Linked DNA regions of Macaca mulatta. The protein of the gene in region 2 purifies or fractionates together with the protein of the main gene of each other region. This does not show direct contact. Links are inferred from orthologs where the notes say so. Each region holds a gene or a part of one and is shown on either strand. Other genes may lie near its edges.

The links.
Region 1: the proteins of NFKB2 (region 2) and FBXW7 purify together in Homo sapiens (affinity purification with mass spectrometry; 7 studies listed by BioGRID and IntAct, with this or other methods). This does not show direct contact. The link is inferred for Macaca mulatta from reciprocal best matches to the Homo sapiens genes NFKB2 and FBXW7.

What each region holds. Positions count from the first base shown.
Region 1 is NC_133410.1:161,006,688-161,016,966, forward strand, and holds the start of FBXW7 (F-box/WD repeat-containing protein 7), read right to left. Parts: upstream 6,258-10,279; 5' UTR 6,189-6,257; coding exon 5,688-6,188; intron 1-5,687. UniProt on the Homo sapiens protein: Substrate recognition component of a SCF (SKP1-CUL1-F-box protein) E3 ubiquitin-protein ligase complex which mediates the ubiquitination and subsequent proteasomal degradation of target proteins.
Region 2 is NC_133414.1:114,503,236-114,513,364, reverse strand, and holds the start of NFKB2 (nuclear factor NF-kappa-B p100 subunit), read right to left. Parts: upstream 6,263-10,129; 5' UTR 5,754-6,262; exon of another isoform or gene 5,597-5,753; intron 4,745-5,596; exon of another isoform or gene 4,507-4,744; 5' UTR 4,435-4,506; coding exon 4,414-4,434; intron 4,143-4,413; coding exon 4,061-4,142; intron 3,945-4,060; coding exon 3,904-3,944; intron 3,665-3,903; coding exon 3,566-3,664; intron 3,490-3,565; coding exon 3,338-3,489; intron 3,083-3,337; coding exon 2,976-3,082; intron 2,883-2,975; coding exon 2,724-2,882; intron 2,427-2,723; coding exon 2,322-2,426; intron 2,196-2,321; coding exon 2,110-2,195; intron 2,029-2,109; coding exon 1,890-2,028; intron 1,678-1,889; coding exon 1,552-1,677; intron 1,121-1,551; coding exon 911-1,120; intron 832-910; coding exon 690-831; intron 324-689; coding exon 209-323; intron 126-208; coding exon 1-125. UniProt on the Homo sapiens protein: NF-kappa-B is a pleiotropic transcription factor present in almost all cell types and is the endpoint of a series of signal transduction events that are initiated by a vast array of stimuli related to many biological processes such as inflammation, immunity, differentiation, cell growth, tumorigenesis and apoptosis.

The DNA.
Region 1 (10,279 bases), on a different chromosome or scaffold from region 2:
AGTCTGTTAAATTCTTCAGCAGGCCCAGACTCAGATCATAAGAAGTCAAGTCACTTTTCCATCCACTGACCAGAAGACGGGACAATTGAGAGAGAAAAGAAAATATGGGCAGGAAAATAAAAACTTGGTTTGGGGAAAGAAACTACTAGTAGTTTCAGTTTTCAGTGGACCACTCAGATGATGATGCCCAACAGACAGCTAGAAATGCAAAACTATGGCTAGGGTGAATGAATGGAGCTTGAGAAATCATTTTGGAGTTATCTACCAAAGTGAAAACAAAATTCATCATGATATATTCCTATATCCTTTTTCTTCATACTGTCTTCCCTACCACCAACAAAAAACAACATTAAAAATGGATCAGATCATTATAATAATACACATGGGAAACAATTTTCTTTGGAAGTATTTTGAAGATAACTATTTGTGGTATTTGTGTATATTTCAGTGAGGTTTATCATCTGTATAAAGAACAAATCATTGGAGCGCTATAAAACAATTTTAAAATGGCCCATTTGGTGTGAAGATTATTCTTTAGTCTACAATGAAACCCCATAATTAAAATACTTTTTGAGCTGGGCACGGTGGTCCACGCCTGCCGTCCCAACTACACAGGAGGATCTCTTGTACCCAGGGGTTCAAGGTCAGCCTGGGCAACACAGCAAGGCCGTATCTCTTAAATAATTAATAATAGTAACTGTCATGACCTGCAGTGAATGAGATACAGTTTATCACCAACATTTAGAGTTATTATGGTTTAACACAATATTAACAAATATATTTAAAACTATATTAACAAGCATTAATTAGAAATTAACCATGAGCTAAAATTCATTGTGGCATCCATATGGAAGATTCATTAAAGCATTTAAATATACAGAAGCTTTAGCTAAAGATTAGAAGGAAGTCTACAGAAATTGACTTAAATTCTAATGAAAGGAAAGGGTACATATTTTATCAGCTAGGGAGATCTGTGGGTAGCATCGGCTTCAAAATTTATGTCTATTTTTATTGAAGATGGGCCTAGCTTATTATAGTATTCTTCTAATCCTCCTGTGTACCTTTTTAAAAGACTTTATTTCTCTACTTCTTTTTACACTAGAGGGTGATATGATGACTGAATGCTGAAGGTCGTAAAACATACATATAGAGACTGACAACCGCTGTGGGGAATGAAGTGTATTTTGTGGGATTTGGGGTAAGGCACAGGAGACAAATAAAATGATGTTATAAGGCCTGTATCTGTAAAATATCTTGAGTGTCCCAGACACTATGCTACCTGATTTACATAAATTATTTCACTTAATCCTTACAAAAACCTTAAGAGGTAGGCATTCTAGTCTTCATTTTACAGATAAAGTAATAGGTTCACTGAGATTACATACTTACAGTTACATATAAGTGGCATAATCAGAATTCAAACTCAGATCTGAAAAGTTCTTATCACTCTAATATGTTAAGGGAAAACCCATCTCACCCATTGTCCCCATTTCTCCCATTTCCATCATCCTCCCCACATGTTTAAAATTGGGCTAAACTATGCTGAGTCAATGTTTCATTTTTCCTCCCTCACAAAGGTAGGGGACATGGCTATTCACTGGGCCATGTTTACTAGTGGATGTTACTCAAGATGACTGCCTTAAATAGCATTTTTTGCTCTCTGGACATGTCTACACCAAACAAAATTTGAACTTACGTTATTTGTCTTGTAGGTAGACTAGGCCAGGGACTTTCTGAAGAAGCTATCATTCTCTAGAACTCTACAATAGAGTGTAACTTAGAGCCCTGTTATATTTCCAATGTTAGACACATTGTCCTACAAAGTTTCTCAGCAGCTCTGGTCCTAGGAGGTGGTTGGAGAATGGTGGACCAGATACCCTGATTGGTTAATGATCCTATTACCTGATTCCTCTATTGTTCAGAACTTATAGACAAGAAAGAAAGGGTCTTATGCCTCTAAACTCCAATATACTAGATGCTTCTCCACAACTCCCCCCCTCTCTACTTATTTATTCTGAAACAGGACTCTCTATGGCCCAGATCACTGCAGCCTCAACCTCCTGGGCCCAAATGATCCTCCCACCTCAGCCCTCAAAGTAGCTGGAACCACAGGTGCATGCCATCACACTCAGCTAATTTTTGTTTTTTGTAGAGACAGGGTTTTGCCATGTTTGCCCACGCTGGTCTTGAACCCCTAGGCTCAAGCAATCTGCCCACCTCAGCCTCCCAAAGTGCTGGGATCACAGTGTGAGCTACCATACCCGGCTATCCTTTATACATATGTATTTTTTGATAAACATTTATTTCTTATTTGAGGCAAATGGATAAACACGGTTTAATTACTAAGAGGAATCTAACAATCAGGATGGGAAAAAAATAGACTAATTTCAGGTAAGGAAGTTATGTGAGACGAGAACAGGTGGAAGAATCCAACAATCAGGATGGGAAAAAAAATAGACTCATTTGAGGTAAGGATGTTATATGAGAAGAGAACAGGTGGAAGCCACTATGACAGATATGGAAGCATCAGAAATTAGTGCTCAAACACACTTCTCTTCATCAAAAGATCAGGATACCAGATCTGGCCTAATAATTGTCTCATTTGTTTTTCATGTTAGTAGAAAATTAGTTGATATCTGCATAAAATATGTCAAAGATTCTTCAATATGAGCTGGGCATCTCTTCAGAAAACAATTTTAAAAAAATATATATGATAAGGATGTTGACAAAGGAAGTAAAAACTGAAGAGACAGACATTTATATCTGGAGAACCAAGTTGACTCTAGAATTTACAGGCTAGTCAAATTTAGAGGAACAGCCAGCACACAACCTCTGCTTTAAAAGCATGTTTTATGGATTCGAGAGAGTATGACCTCTATCAGATTTTGTAATAGCGTCATTTCTTCCTGATTACTTTAGCCTTGAGCTGTAAAATCTTCAATAGTGTTTTGTTAAGTGCCACAAAGAAAAGTAGTTAACTGAGCTCTCTGTCCTTTCTATAGGGTAGCTCTGATCACTTCAAATGGGACACAGTATTAGAAAATCATCACACGCCAGAGTCTCTATGACTATATTGGAAATCTTGTTTAGTGATGTTTGTCATATTCTACCATAGGGGGCAGCATAGTACATGGAAAGAGAAAGGGGTTTTTTGCAATTAGGCAAATCAGGATTAAAATCTCTCATCACTTAGTGTGATCTGGGGTGGATCATTTGGCCTCTCTGTAACTTCTGTTTATGTATCTGTCATAGGATCTTTCAAACAGTGTGAGCTTAATAAATAGCAATTCTTGACTATCACTTCCCTTGACTTTTAACATTAAGACAGTATGGAATTTTTAACATATATTGCTTGCCATAAGGCTCCCAAAAGAACAAACCTTTAGTGACAAGGGGGGAAAAACTGTCCTCAAAGTTTTGACAGTTTTCAAAATGCTTTCAAAGAATAAAGCAATGCAAGGAAGAATTAAACATCTTTTTTTCTCATTAATATCATATTTGCTTATGCAGCATATTTAGGGATGACGGATAAAATTCAGTCTAGCTGTCCACAGGGTTTGTTTATGAGAACGTCAAAAAATAAAACTTGAAAGGTATCCTGAGTAAAATCTGTAGAAAGCTAATCCTATATTAACATTTAAAAATGGGATTTCATTTCTTATGCCTCTACTCTCAAAAGTCAAAGTTTAAGACTTGAATGAAACTATGGTCTAGGGTAATGTCTGTAGAAGTGTCTTAACTTTATAATGATCAAGAATTTAAAGCTCTTCCAAAATAAAGTACTTGAACTAGTGAGAGCTTCTATTTATTGTATTAAAACATCTACAGACGGAGAATATTGACATTTTCTTTTTAGGTAAAGCAGTACTAAGCGACTTTTCTAAATGCTGTTGAAAGTGCTCCGGGAATACTCTGGCAGAAGGGTTTTAGGAATGGACAAAAAGGAAAACATTTAGAAAAATTTCAGACTGAAATCGTACTTATAGAAGGGCATCACTGTCCTGGCAATCAAATAGCTTTGTATTCTTCATGCCATACTTATGAAGGCAAATCATCTCATGATCAACAATATATCAAAAAGTATACATACACACTTATATAATAAATGCATATACACATCTATATTGTACATGTGTATATATACAAATGCATACACACATCTATCCCTGCTATGGTTAGGGCCCAGTCCATTCTTGTTATCTTGCATGTACAAGAATAACTGTTATTCCTGATTCAGAATCACTAGGAAAAAAAACTAACAAATTCAGTATACTTCGTTTTTAAAGAGGTAATCATCACACACATAAAATTTCTGTTAATGATTTTATCTTGAAGGTAAAGAAAAGATGAAGTACCTGTCAAACTTGTGAACTGGAAGGTTTCCTACAGAATATAAGGATGACTTTTCCTTTTGGAAAAAGATAAAGTTTTGTCTAACTAGCTTTTTTTGCTTTTAATTTAAAGTGTAGCAGAAATCAGCAATAACTCTGCATTGTTCTGCAAGGCTTAGTTTTGATTGAACCTCTTTCTGAAATAAGATAATGCAATTGGAACTTAAGTATTAAACCCCTATTCCTCTAACTGAACCCTCAGGAAAAAAAGAGCTGTATAAACTCCCTTTTGATATAGTAACCTTGAAGAAGGGGATTAAGACTGGGGGGACAGAAGGGAGGAATGACACTATATAAGGTCTGAGCCTTAACAAAGCAGTGTATAGTTGTTAGCGGTAGAGCCATCTGGCTGAGATCCAAAGCTACTGCTTCAACATCTTGAGACAGGGATGATACAATGGATGAAAAATCACTACTTGATGTCACGTCCTTCTTAGATCATGCTAGCTAAATATAATCTGACTTGCAGACAGGCTAGGTAAATTAGGGCCAAACACATTTTAGAAAGTCAAGGTTTTACAAGCAGATGTAAAACATGATTTAGCAATTCAACTATTATTAATCCAAGTGTGTAAGACACTTCATTCCAAGTCAAGTTAGGTTAAATGATATGATGTCAAATCAGTTAAATCAGTTTGTATATTGTTTATGGCCTAAAATCACTGTAAAATGTAAGAAATAAGCAAGTAGGAGTAAGAGGATGAACTACCACAGACATTATTTTAATGTCTATAAAACAAGTAAGCTATTATTCAAGTTAAAATGTTCCTTTCCAAAATATAGTTTAACTTGTAAGTCTATTCTACATGAATATCCACTATTTCTAATTCTCAAATCATAAATAACTAGAACTAATTTGAGGCAACTTTTGAGTAATTTATGCCTTAGAGTGACACTTGTAAATAGACAGCCCACTCCAGCAGCTGCATTTTGTAAATAAAAAGCTTCTTCATTACTTGATTTACACAAATCATATTTCACCCAAAACCTCTACACCCCACACAAGCTACTAATCCCTGCCCGGAACTCAAGGTTTAGACAAAAATTTGATGTTAATAACTTTTCATAGTAATAGGCTCAATTACTTTCCCTCCATTTGTACTCAGATTGTCCCATTATCAGTATTTCTACTTGTTAATACTTTCCAATACCTTCTGTAAAACAAAAAACTAGTTCATTTTATTATTACATATCTTAAGATTAATTTTTAGTAATACAAAGACTGAGAGGAAAGTTTCATTACTTAAAATAGGTATGTAAAGTTTCTCAAGTTAACAATATAATGAATATACTCACTTTTGTGGTTTTTGTATAGAATGGGGAGGAGAGCTGGTGAACGGGCAGGTCCACAATACTACTGGAGTTTGTGACACTGTTACTATGTGTATGTTCATCTTCTCTGCTACTATCATCTGACTGATCAAAATCATCACTCTCCTGGTCCATCTCCTCCTCCTCCTCATCCTCCTCATCTTGTTCACCAGCATGTTCTTCATCTTCCTCTTGTTCTTCTTGGTTTCCTGAGGAGTCCTCATCTACTGAAATAAATCTATTATTGTTTTCTTCCAATTGTCCTTGCTGGGAATCATTTTGGCCTCCAGGTCTAGGTTCTACTCCAACAACTTCACCATTCCTTGCAGTGTGCTCCTCCTCTTGTTGTCTAAGTTGCTGTTGCTGTTCCTCCTCTACCACACGATTCATCTGTTCTTCATCTACCTGGCTTGAGGAAGGGTTACCTCTCAGAGAGCCTCCAGTTCGTCGTCTTTTGCTGCCCACAGAGAGCAGTTCCTGATTCATTTCCAAAAGCCAGCTTGCTACTTCTTGGACCTTGGCTAGACTATCAGAAGATGCAAAGGTTTTCACATTCTGCAGGGGAAAATAGTGGAAAAAACAAGATTTGTACAATCTATATTATGTTCTACTTTCATGTTATATGTCTACATTCTAAATATCATTAATGATTGCAAAAAAGTATTGATGCCACCAAGGCATTAAAATGCTTTTTAGTAAACAATATAGAACATTTCAATTTTAAAAGTTATAAGACTTTATAAAGACATGCACAAAAACCATAGTAAACAACATTAATCGCTTTTAATAATTTTTAGCATAAAGATTTATAGTTTAATTCCTTTGACCAATAAAACATAAGCATATAAAACAATTTCAACTTTACATCAGTAGTTCATAGACTATATCCTATATAAAACTTCCACAAAATTTTAAGAAGTGTATCAAAAAAAAATTTCAGTGTTCAGTTAAATTTGGGAAATGCTGAGGTAAATCAGATTAAAAGGCTTTTTATCCTGGTATTTCCCAAACTTCTCTGATCACAGAATCTTGCCTTCAGACACAGTTTTCAAGCAGGTAACAATTATAATCATTATTATTTTAATTCTTTTACAAATGACTGGACAGAAACAAAAAATTTATTTAAAAAAAAAAGTTCATAAGTTCATACCCTCTGACCCAGTAACTCCACTTCTGGCAATCTATCCTAAGGAAGTAATCCTAAAACAGAAAAAAAAAATTATACAGAGGATGCTCACTGCAGTTTATCCACAAAAGCAAATATAAAGATAAAAATAAATGTAAATAAAAGTAAAAATTCAAATGCTCAATATAAAGGAATCTATGAGATGGGATATATACAGTGTAATCCCTAAACATGACGTTCATAAAACATTTTTTAAAACACGGATGTTATATTATATTACGCTAAGGGGAAAATACTGGAAATAATAATGATTATAATATGATTTTTAAACTGTATGAAGACTAGAAGACAACATTTCAAAATAAACTGCATCTTAGGCAGTGGTATTACAGATGCTTTAAACATTTCTGTTTTTATCATATTTCTCAATTTTTACATATCAAGCATGTTTACCTTTATGTTTTTTAAACCTGGCTCTAGAATTTTATCTGATACAGCATCTTTTCATGATATTTATTCTTACACTTTATCCTTTGTTGGTATCTATATGGACATCTTTGAGGTCAGATAAAATAATGCCAACATATTGTGCACACACAAGAAATTAAGCACCCGTGATCTAAAACTTGAAACTGTTAACAAATGAAGTATTGTCAATTCTAGTCTTTTTCAGAGAAAACCTTTAGTATGATTTACAACAGTGTATGATAAAACACCAACATCAACAAACAGAAGTCCATATCCTAAAATTTGAGGAAGGTCTTTTATTTCTTCTTACCATAATACAAAATGTCAAGATATATCAAATATTTGATATATTCAAGTTCAGTCACAGTTACCGATAAAATCATGTTATATATTTATATATATTAATATATTTTTATATATTAATATATTATACATTTAATATAATATATTAATATATATAAGTTATATATATTAATATACATAACATGATTTTATCGGTAACTAATGTGACTGAACTTGAGTTCAGTGAAATAAAATCTGATGGCTAATAAACAACATTAAGGTTCATGGATTTCTTGGCAACTGGATATGATGGGAACAGAAATGATTCAAGGTCAGGAAGAATACTAATAAAAGAAATAAAATTTTAAACTGAAAATGTTCCTCACTTTGCAGGCAAGGTAATCAGGCTTAAAATGATTTAGTAAATTTCTCAAGATTACTAGCTTTAAGTAAAGCAGGGACAAGAATTTAACACCCAAGTGAGTCTTCTTTCATACACCTTGAAGTAACCACATAAAATCCTGAAAGAATATTATTCTCTAACACTGATACTGCCTTCTTTTCCAAAACTAGAATCACTACAATACTCAAAGATTATTACTCTAAAACAAATTATTTGCTGAGCATTCAATATGCTTCTTGTACATGCCAATTTTCTGGAGGATAATGTTTAGAATAACGTATCTTTCAAGTTACCTGATGACATTTCCTCTTTTTGACCAGAACCCACAGTAAAATTATGTTTAACATCACAACTCTGCATGCATGCATTTAAACATATTAAAACAATGGTTTCGAGAAAGGGAATTATGAAACACTTCTGGTATCTAAAGTCCCTATAAATCACCACTGTTAATGAAATACAGTTGATTTGCATTCACAGTAATTGCGTTCTATAAAATTGCTGCAACCACTGAATTAACAAATACTGAGCCATTGCTCCTAGGGGAAATACAGTTCTCACAAGCCTCTGGTCACAACATTGTTGCCAACTGATCAACGCATAACCTTTTTTATGTGTGTTTCTGTCTAAATATATCTTTAATATAGATTGATTCATCAGCATTGAACTCATGGTCAACAGCATTATAACTAATGCCTGAATTAAGTTTATTTAATACACATTAGTTTATCTTTAAGGCAAATTACAACCTTCCTGCACTCAGGAACATTAAACAGAACTTCAGGGCTATGTTTTGGGGCCATTTTAAACTGCCCAATCACTAATGAAAAGCACCAAAATGAGGAAAATGCTATACTTTTCCTCATGGACCATGAAAATGACACTTGTTTACAGTATGACAGCTGCAACAAGAAGGCAGAGCATCACCCTGTTGATCTCAACTAGAAATAGGTTTGTCAGGTGGCTCAAACTTTGTGACACTGCATAGTACATGTCCACAAATGACTATGAAAGTATCATTTGAAGCTGTGAAAGTAACTGTGTTGTTCCAGTTCTGCTAACCTAACAAAGGATAAATGATCAGAGACATTAAAAGCTCCATTAAAGATATTAGTCAATGAATGTTTCAAATACATTGAAAGTTCAGATAGCTCTGATAAAATAAAGTTGGACTTTGCATAAAATAATGGCTGGAGAAAAGAACATTACTGTTCCTTTTGTAAGTGTGGGGAACAACATTCTTCTGGCAGTGTCTTTCAAGGTAGTGGAAAGTCCAGAGAGGTCCTGACCTATGGGTACTTTAAAAAGATGCCTACAGTCAACTCCATTCTGAATGAAAAAGAGGTATAATAATTCTGCTGTTCAAACAAATTTAAAATAGGCTATTTAAAGAAAGTAGAGCTACTCCACTTTCCCCAAATCCTAGAAAATACAGGGTAACTTTTATTCACTATCCTTTGTTGATTTAGTGGCATTTCAGGCCTACCTTGGGTGGGGGGGTGTATTTTACACAACTTTCTCATGAACTTTTAAAATATTTTCTCAATAATCTTGTTATTCAAAATGACCTTTGATAATTCAAAACCATTTGAAATGCTTACTCTAGGATGCTTAAAGGAATAAAAGTGGGCACAGATACAGTTGTTAAATAAGTGGAGCTCTGACAGCCTATCTTATATTGAACTACAGTTGCGAGCTTCAAAGGAAAATTCCAAGCCAAGTACTAACTTTGAAATCATAGTAGACACTGAGGAATACAGTTTATACCAATAAAACAAGAAGTACTTTAAGCAAATTACTAAAGCCTCTGAATCACTGGGCAATATTAACATTTTCAGAATTTACATGGGCTGGTATAATCCATTAGACTTGAGCTACAAAGTGATTTAAGAAGCTTTAGGACAAAGATAACAAGAAAGTAAACCAATTGTACTGATCATCAGGAAGAGTAACTCAAAGCTTGGAATCACTTTCTGCAAGAAGTTTAAGATTTTCACTGAATTCTAAAAGAGCCAACACCCATCACTTCACATATGAACTTCCTATACTCCAAATTAATAATTTATTAATTACTATGATTAGGAGTAAGTACCTGAAATGCATAATGAAATAAGTTTTATCTTACTAATCCACTGCTCAACACCCACTAAGAGCTTCCCATTTCACTCAGAGTAAAAGCCAATGTCTTTTATGGTTGCCTGTTGGGTCCTTCTATCACCCACATACATTCCCACCACTGTGAACTCATATTTTACTTCTCTCTTTCTCACTTTCTGTCACCGTTCTTTCTTGAGGGGT
Region 2 (10,129 bases):
GCCCGCAGCGCCAGATGCATGGCTGAGTCTCCATGCCGATCCAGCAGAGCTGGGTCTGCACCCACCCGCAGCAGAAAGCTCACCACACTCGTCTGCCTGGTGATCACCGCCAGGTGCAGGGGCGTCTGGGGATGAAAGCAGGGTGAGCCAGGCCCGAGACCCACCTGCCTTCCAACCCCTCCCACCTCCCCAGTAGGCGCCCCCGCACCTGGTGCAGGTGGTTGGTGAGGTTGACGACGCCGAGGTCCTGGGCGTGGTGGATGACATAGGCTATCTGCTCAATGACACTGGTCTGCCCATGGATGATGGCCAGGTGCAGCGGTCTGGGGGTTGGGGAGCGAGAGTCTGGCCCAGCCACTCAGAGCATCCTTCGCTCTCAAAGCCCCACCGCCCTCATAGACTCCCTCGCTGGGGCCCGTGGAACCCAGCACGTGGCCCAGGGCATCGCTGTGCCTGCACTTAACGTTTCCTAGCACCTTTTGAGGTAGGTAAGTGCTATAACTGTACCCCTTGCACGGTCGACAAAACTGAAATTTGGAGAGACCAAGCATCTTGAACAGAGCTGGTGAACAGAGAGGCCGGACTTGAAGCCTGGTGTGTCCGAAAACTGCAGAGCCCGGCTCTGTGCCGGTCCCTTTCCTGCCCCCACCCGACCCCGCGCCGCGTCCGCCAGGCCCTCTGTTGCCTACGTGTCTCCGTTCTCGTCCTGCGCCGTCAGCAGGTGGCGCTGTCCCGCCAGCAGCGCGCGCGCGTCCGCGGTGACGCCGTAGTCGAGTAGGGCCCGGGCGCTGCGCTGCGCCAGGCAGAACAGTCGCGCGTTGTACTCTCGGGCTGGGGGCGACAGAGGGCGTGGGTCAGAGCTGGGTCCTCAGCCCCAGCGCCCCGACCGTCCGTGCCCTGGAGGCCATACCTCGCTGCAGCATCTCCGGGGCCTGCGGCTCGCACTGGGGGGCCCTGGAGGGGGCGCTCGGCTCCGCGGCTTCCTCTCCGGAGTCCCTGCCGGGCACCGAGGCGGCCATCTGCGCCCCGCCCCCGCCTCCCGGGTAGCAGCCCATGGGGCCCGCGCCGGACTGGTAGGGGCTGTAGGCCAGGGAGGAGGGGAAGAAACCGAGGCTGCCACCTGTGGGTACAGGCAGGGCTGTGGGAAACGGGCACCAGCCAGGACTCTCCCAGTTTTGGTTTTTTTTTTTTTTTTTTTTTGAGATGGAGTTTTGCTCTTATTGCCCAGCCTGGAGTGCAGTGGTGCGATCTCGGCTCACTGCAACCTCTGTCTCCCGGGTTCAAGCGATTCTCCAGCCTCAGCTTCCCGAGTAGCTGGGATTACAGGCGCCTGCCACCATGCCCAGCTAATTTTTGTATTTTTAGTAAAGATGAGGTTTCACCCTGTTGGCCAGGCTGGTCTCGAACTCCTGATCTCAGGTAATCCGCTTGCCTTGGCCTCCCAAAGTACTGGGATTACAGGTGTGAGCCACCACGCCTGGCCTCTCCCTGGTTTTTTTTCCTCCACAGCTTCTCTTGCCTTTACCCCTCCCTCCCTCAGCACCCCCTCACCTCCTCCAGCTCCTCCATAGCCCCCCGCTGCACCTCCAGAGCCTCCACCCATGTGGGAGCCACCCCCGAAGGGCTGGGAGAAGGTGGGCAAGGCCTTCCTCCGCTTCCGCTGCACCTCTTCCTTGTCTGGGGGCAGAGGAAAATGAGATTGAGCCCAATTATTGTGTCATGCCTCAGGGGCCCTTCCCAGAAGAGCCCTCAGGCTGGCTCCTAGGAAGCACCTCCTCAGACCCTCCACACTCCTGACTTGGCTCATGCATCCCCACATCTAGCTCTTGGGACCTTCTAGCCCAGCCTGGCCCCCCACCATCCCCCTGGGGTCCTCAGCCCAGCTCCACCTTCCACCAGAGGGTAATAGGTGAACTGTTTGGAATCAGACACATCCCCTCCTCGCTTGCGTTTCAGTTGCAGGAACACTGTTACGGGCCGCTCAATCTTCATCTTGTGATAGGGGGGTGTCCGGAACACAATGGCATACTGGGGGGTGCAGGGAGACACAGGGTGTCAGTGAGTCCTTAGCCTAATTTAGCCCCCAGCCTGGGCCCTAGCCCTGGATACCTGTTTATGCACATCTGTGGGAGAGAAGTCCCCAAAGGCCTGCCATCCATTCTCATCATCCTCATAGAACCGAACCTCAATGTCATCTACAAGGAAAACGGAAGCTTGGCCGCAGCTCCCGGTGGAATCTCCGGGGCCATTTATCCTAGAGCTTCCCTGGCCCCAGTCTTATATTCGATGTCCTTGGCGCCCAGCCTGGGCTCCAGTCTCACCTTTCTGCACCTTGTCACAAAGCAGATAAACTTCATCACCACCCCGCACAGAGCCTGCTGTCTTGTCCATTCGAGAAATCTTCAGGTTTGATGCCCCCGGAGACTCTATGGGGTGGGATATGGATTAGCTGAGATGATGCAATAGCCATGGCCACATTTAAGGAGCTTGGTGCTCTGTATTCCTTATCTTAGCAACCCCTGGAGCTGCAGGAACCACCCAATATTCGCATTTACTAAAGATAGAAGCTTCAGGGGGAGGAAATGACTTGCTCAGGATCACTCAGCATCTATGTGGCAGGGCCAGGTTCTGAAACCCGGGCCTGTTTGACTCCACAGCTTAAGGTCACCCCTCGTGCCACCTCTGCCACCAGGCCTGGCACCCCAGGTAGTCAGGATACTCACTGCTGTCATGGATGGGCTGGGAAATGACTGGCTTCAGGGGCAGGGAGAAGGAGCCATCACTGGCTCTAAGGAAGGCAGAGAAGCGCAGCCGCACTATACTCAGATCCATCACCTTCTTCAGTTCTTTGGCCTCCTGCTCCAGCTCCCGCTGCTCGGCCTCTGGGCAGTGGGTACATGTGTGACCCCTGGGCTTCTCCCTCCCTGCTCCTTCCATGAGCACCTCCCATGACCCTCCCCCCACCGCACCCATACCCGTAAGGCCCTGGGGCCTAGAGCGGAGCCGCTGCCTCTGAAGTTTTTGTATCATAGTTCCCATCATGTTCTTCTTAGTCACGTGCAGGACACCCAGGTTGTTAAATCTGAGGAGATGGGAGAATCAGAGGCCTTTGGCTGTGCAGTTCTTTCTTCCTGAGGTGCCTTTCCCATTGTCAGGGCTCAGCTCAGCCCTACTTCCTCAAGGAAGCCATTGGAGTTTCTACTTGGGCCCTTGGGTTTGGGGCCAACCTACCTCTCTCCCCTTGGTCAGATGCTAAGCTCATGGAGGTGGGCTGGGGCTTAGGACTGGCAGAGAGTGAGGGGCATATCAGTGGGGGCCAGGGGTAGAGGGCACCTACTGGGCAGTCATGTCCTTGGGCCCCACAGAAACGGCGCAGATCCCCAGCTCCGAGCATTGCTTGCCCACCAGACTGTGGGCATGAGCACGAGGTGGGTCACTGTGTGTTACCAGGTCTACCTCGATCTTGGCTGGTCCCTCGTAGTTACAAATCTAGGAGAGGCAGGGACTGTCAGGGCCTTGGGCGTGCTGTCCACTTAGCCAACCCTCCAGCACCATCCTGGCTCACCTTGACAGTGGGATAGGTCTTTCGGCCCTTCTCACTGGAGGCACCGGGCAGTCCTCCGTGGGAGGGGCCTTCACAGCCATATCGAAATCGGAAGCCTCTCTGAAGGTCCAAGGGCAGAGTAGCATTATGATCAGGGAAGACCACCCCGGCCAGCAGTGACCACAGTGCCTGGTAGTATCTGCTCTGAACCACAACTACAGCACTCTGATCAGCAGCAGTGACCATCCAATCCCCTGTGGCCTCCTTGGGCAATGGCTCCTCCATGGCCTGCCAGCTACCACTACCCCATTTGTCCCCAAAGCTGAAGCCATTCCACACCCTCCCTTTTGCTTACTCACCTGCTTAGGCTGTTCCACGATCACCAGGTAGGGGCCATCAGCTGGGGACAGGGAGACCTTGCTTAGCCACTATCTCCCAGCCCTTCCCCCAGGCAGAAGGCACATGCTCTCCCTCCCCCTACCTTTAGGACTAGAGGAGGTTAGTGAACTTACTGACCTGTCTCTGGGGCTGGCTCCTTGGGTTCCATAATGGAGGAGTTCAATTTGAAATCATCATATTCAATAATGCCATCCAGACCCTGGTTTGGAGACAGACTGGGGGTGGCATCCAACTCTCAGCGCCCCCCACGGCCCCACCTCCCATCTCCAAGTCCTCAGTGGTCACTCCCCCTCCTCCTCAGGCCCAAGAGAAAGCTCCTTTTGGAGGCAGAGTTGTAGACAGATGGACAGACTGGTAGGCTGAGAGCATCTGCGAGCATGCAGGTGTGTGGCAGCAGAGGGGGCTCGGGCAGACAGGTGGACAGACACGGGGGGCGGCCGGCCGGGTCAGGGGCAGGCAGCGTGACTCACTGGGTTGTAGCAACTCTCCATGTCTCTGGGCTAGGCCCGGCTCTGTCTAGTGGCTCCGGCCAGGTTCTGCTTCCCAGAATTTTAGGCGCCCGCCTAAAGTTGGGAGGAGTGGCGTGGGGGAGGGGGTCAGATCTAAATGGGGGTGGGCGGGAGATGGGGGCCCAGATTTGGGGGACGGTCCGACCTCCTCCAGCCGCCCGTCCGGGTGTGGCGGGTGAGATCCGGTGGAGAGCGAGATCCGGAGTTGGGCTTGGCCGGGGAAGGGGCAGGAAAGTTAGAGCAGCTTAGGAAAGTCCCGAAAATACCAAGGGGAGGCGGGGCCGGAGGGGGCGGGCCTGGAAATGACGCCAGTGGCACCGCCCTCACGACGGGAGGGGCGGGAGGCCCTCGCCAGTCTACGGGTTCCCGCTGCTTTTCAGCGGGTAGAGGGAGAGGAGAGTCAGGGGAGCCGCGGTGGGGGTTAAGCCCCCTCCTCCCTCCAGGGCAGGGAACAGGAGGGTCCCTCACGGCCGTGGGGAGGTTGGCAGTCTGGAGCCAAGTCCGCCTCCCGCTCCCCTCCCCCGGTCTGGAGCAACCTTGGGAATTTCTGCCAGGAGGGAGGCCACGGCTGATAAACCCGGGGGCTTTTGGGGGGACGTTCCTGCTGTCTGATGGCCTCCCCTTCGAACAGCCTGTAGGCGGGGGCTCTTTCCTGTGGGAGGCCCCGGGGTTCTGCCCCGAGAACACGATTCTGGGGCCGCGGGAAAAGTGTCTTCTCCTCCGGCTCCTCTTTTTCCCAAACCTCGCAACAGCAGCTGGTTCCACACCGCACCGGCTCTGGGCACGCAGGCGACAGGGAGACCTCTGCACGCTCCCCACCCAATACAAGCGTGTGTCTCCATCACAGCTCCACAAGTGTGTTTCGGCTCTAGTGCTTGGGTGCATGTTGTGTGTCCATGGCGTCAACATGAGTGTGCAAGCGAGCATGTGTGTAGACAGGTGAGTCCTGAGCTTCTCAGTGTGGGTGTGTGTCAGCGCCTGTCTTGATGTACAGACACGGGTGAGCGTATCTTGAGTTTGTGCGTGAAGGGTGTGGGTGCAGGCACCAGTGCACCGGTGGGCACGTCTCCGTGTGCATGTGTGTGCGAGTGCGACTGCACGGACGCTGCCGTGTGTGCGCCAGCACAGGTACAGGTGTACGTACGGGTCCGTGTGTCTTTGTACAAGGATGTCGACGTGGATCTGAGTGTCGTTGCCTGCGCGCCGCTGCTGCTCTCCAGCCCCCGGCGCTGTCCGCTAAAGGCCCTCCTCCCGCTCTTCTCTTGTCCCGGCCACCCAGGGGTCTGAATCCAGCCACTCACCGTGGCGGCGGCTCTGGTTGCGGCTTCTCTCCGCGCCCGACCCACCTGGGACCGGTCGCGACACCTCGCCGGCCAGCAGGGCTTGGGGCCGGGAAAGCCCCTTCTCGGCCCCCCGGAGGGGGGAATTCCCATGACGTTTCCGTGCGTCACGCCTCGCGCCCTTTTTCATTGGCTGAAAGTTTAACTCTGGACTGGCGCAGCCAACCCGGAGCGACTCGGGCGCGCCCCTGAGAGGGGACAGGCTCACTCAGGGTAGGGAGCGGGGCGACAGGCCACCAGGCGCGACAGGCCACCAGCGGGGCGACAGGCCACTAGTTCGGCCGGCTAGGGGACCGCCGAGAAGGTACCCGCTGACCCAGCGCCACCTTGGGCCGGGAGCTTCCGCTGCAGCTCGGCTTTGGCTGCGCCTAATGCTTGACTTTCTCCGAAGCGGGGGAACCCCAGGGGGAAGCCGACGGCCCCAGCCCTCGGGGCCCCCACCCTGAGCGGCGGGCTGCCGGGAAGTTAGCGGAAGAGGAAGGAAGTTGCTTTTGCGGTCGGTCCCGGGCGCCCTCTGGCGGCCTTCATGAGGCCGCAAGGAGACTCCATTTGGCCCAGGCCCCTGTCTCGCTTTGTCTCATCAGCCTCAGGGTTCCGGGAGAGACAGTCCGGACCTCGGACTTTTATAGAAGTGATAGGTTCCCAGCGGGCCAGGACTCAGGAGCTCTGCGCAGGAGAAGGGAAATTAAGTGTTTATCCACCACGGAGATCTGGAATATTAGAACTGAAAAAGGCATCCAGAGTTTAAACAGCTCAAATTTCCACCGATGTGGGAAATCGCCTCTTTTTTTTTAGTCTCAGACTGGAATGCAGTGAGGCGCTTTTGGCTCACTGCAACCTCCGCCTCTTGGATTCAAACCATTCTCCTGCCGCAGCCTCCCGAGTATCTGGGATTACAGTGCCCACCACCAAGCCCGGCTAATTTATGTATTTTTAGTAGAGTTGGGATTTCACCATGTTGGTCAGGCTAGTCTCGAACTCATGTCCTCAGGTGATCCGCTGGCCTCCGCCTTCCGAAACGTTGGGATTACAGTCGTGAGCCACCGCACACGGCCTATTTCATTTATTTATGTTTTTGAGACAGTGTCTCGCTCTGTCACCCAGGCCTGGAGTACAGTGGCGCGATCATGGCTCACTGCAACCTCGAACTCCGGGGTGCACTGATTCTCTCACTCTCCTGAGTAGCTGGGACTACAGGTGCACACCACCACACCTGGCAAATTTTTAAATTTTTAGTGGAGATGGATCTCACTACGTTGCCTAGGCTGGTCTTAAACTCCTGGGCTTAAGTGGTCCTCCTACTTTGGCCTTCCAAAATGCTTGGATTACAGACGTGAGCCACTGTGTCCTGCCAAATTGCCTCTTATAGACCTTCCAGTTTCCATCTGAACACTTCTAGAGGCAGTGAGGTCAGGACAGGAATTCACCAAGTATCGAGTACATGAGTGGACCTCTCTCTGGTCAGTAGCGTTTCTCCTTAGCAGGTGCCATGAGTAATCTCCATGCCTGGAGTCCTCCTCCCTTAGGCTTATGGTAGAACATAGGCTATCTGGGATCTTTCCTGCAGCTTGCCCCAGACGTTTTTAAGAACAGAATCACAGGCCTGCACTGGCACTAAGAGAGACTATTATGGCTCTCGATTTGGGCTGTCTGTTTCCTATTACTTCCCCACCCCCCTTCATCTTGCCTGCAAATATAGTGTCCCAGGCACTAGGTTCGAGTACTTTAGAAGTTCTCATTCTCCCTCCCAACAACCCTAGGAGGTGAATATTACCTTTACTGATGAAGAAATCAAGGCTCAGAGAGGTGGAGTAACCAAACACACAGCTAGGAAGGGGCAGAGCCAGGATTCAAACCCAATCTGTTGACTCCAGGATGAAGCTCTTTCCCCTAAATTTATATAAAACAAAGCAGCCCTTTCCACCTTACTGTGGGCCTCTCAAACAAATATCGTAAGATTCTGCCAAACAATTTGCTGAAATCCAGATATGTTGTCTACTACATTTCTCCGGTAAGTCAGATTCCTAACCCTATTTAAAATGGACTAAGGCCAGACATGGTGGCCCACACCTGTAATCTCAGCACTTTGGGAAGCCAAGGCTTGTGGATCATTTGAGCCCAGGAGTTCGAGACCAGCCTTGGCAACATGGTGAAACCCCGTCTCAAAAAATATAAAACTTGGCCAGTCTCATAACTAGGTCTCTAAATAAATAAATAAAAATTTAAAAATAAAATTTAAAATGGAGGAAATTCAGCTTGGTATACTCTAACTTAGTAAACCCGTGCTGGTTACCACTGATCACGTCTGTCCTTTCAAAGTGCTCACAAATTGCCACCAAAATTGGCATGGATTCTTCGAGTCCCCACAACATCTCTAAAAGCACCCCTAAGGGTTGAGCTATTTTAGTTACAAGAGTCTAAGCTGTAATTTATCTAAAGATTAAAAAAAGAAGACCTTTATTAGCGAACATTTCAAACATACAGAGATTTTCACTTTGGGAGGCTGAGGCAGGCGGATCACTTGAGCTCAGGAGTTTGAGATTACCCTGGCAACATAGGGAGACCTCATCTCTACTTAAGTTAGCTAGATGTGATGGTGAGTGCCTGTAGTCCTAGCTACTTGGAAGGCTGAGGTGGGAGGATTGCTCAAGCCCAGGAAGTTGAGGCTGCTGTGAGCCATGTTCGTGCCACCGCACTCCATCCAGGCTGGGTGACAGACAGACGCCGTCTCAAAAAAAGAAGAGTGGAGAGAATAGTATAATGAGCTCCCGTGTGCCCCTCTGTCAGATTCATCAATTCCTAATGCATGTTAGCCTGGAGATTTTAAACTAACTCAAAATAGCTTGTCATTTGCTAGAGCCTCATCTATCTGGGCTTAAGAAACCTCTTTGTTAGGCTGGGCACAGTGACTCACACCTATAATCTCAGCACCTTGGGAGGCCAAGGCGGGTGGATCACTTGAGGTCAGGAGTTCGAGACCAGCCTGGCCAACATGGTGAAACCCTGTCCCTACTAAAAGTATAAAAATTAGCTGGATGTGGTGGTGGGCAACTGTAGTCCCAGCTACTAGGGAGGCTGAGGCAGGAGAATCATTTGAATCTGGGAGGCGGAGGTTGCAGTGAGCTGAGATCACGCCACTGTGCTCCAGCCTGGAAAACAGAGTGAGACTCCATCTCAAAAACAAAAACAAAACAAAAAAAAAAAAACTTCTTCATTGCATGTTTCACTAATTTTCATCCTAATGATCATCTGTTTCTACACCCAGCCCTAGCACAATGCCTAGCCCAGAGCGGATGCACCCCAAATTTATTCCATTCATTTACCAATAAATAGTGAGAGCCCACTCCATTAAACACCGCTGTTTGCAGACAAAACTCCAACAGATATATATCAGTTGGTAGTAAGTGCTACAGAGAAAAATTAAGTAGGTAAGGGATTAGACAGTGACAAGGATTTTCTAGGTATCAGTCAAAGCAGGACTCTCTGATGAAGTAACAATTAAACAATGACTTGAAAAAGTAAGGGAGTGAGTCATGGGGAATATCTGGAGAAAGAGCGTTCCAGGTGGAGGGAACAGTAGGGCCAAGCTCTGATACAAGTGTTTGGCATATTTGAGGAACAGCAAGAAGGTTAGTAGGTGGAATAAAGTAATAACTTTGGATTTTGTTCTGATCAAGATGGAAAGCTGTGAGAGAGTTCTGAGCAGTGGAGTGAAAATTGCATAATGGGCCAGGCGCGGTGGCTCAAGCCTGTAATCCCAGCACTTTGGGAGGCCGAGGCGGGCGGATCACGAGGTCAGGAGATCGAGACCATCCTGGCTAACACGGTGAAACCCCGTCTCTACTAAAAATACAAAAAGAAATTAGCCGGGCGTGGTGGCGGGCTCCGTCTCAAAAAAAAAAAAAAAAAAAAAAAAAGAAAATTGCATAATGTATCTTTTTTTTTTTTTTTTGAGAGAGGCTCTTACTCTGTTACTCAGAGTGGTGTGCAGTGGTGTGGTCATAGCTCACTGCGACCTCAAACTCCTGGGCTCGAGTGATCATCCCACCTTAGCCTCCTGAGTAGCTAGGACTACAGGTACCTGCCACCAGGCCCAGCTAATTTTTGCATTTTTTTGTAGAGACGAGTTTCACCATGTTGCCCAGGCTGGTCTCAAACTCCTGCGCTCAAGTGATCTGCCCACATTGACCTCTCAACGTGAGGTCCATTGCCCAGCCTAGTTTTTTTTAGCTTTTAGATTTTTTTTTTTTGAGACAGGGTCTTGCTGTGTTGTCCAGGCTGGGGTATAACGTGTCTTAAAAGGATCCATTTGGGCTGCATGCCTGTAATCCCAGCAC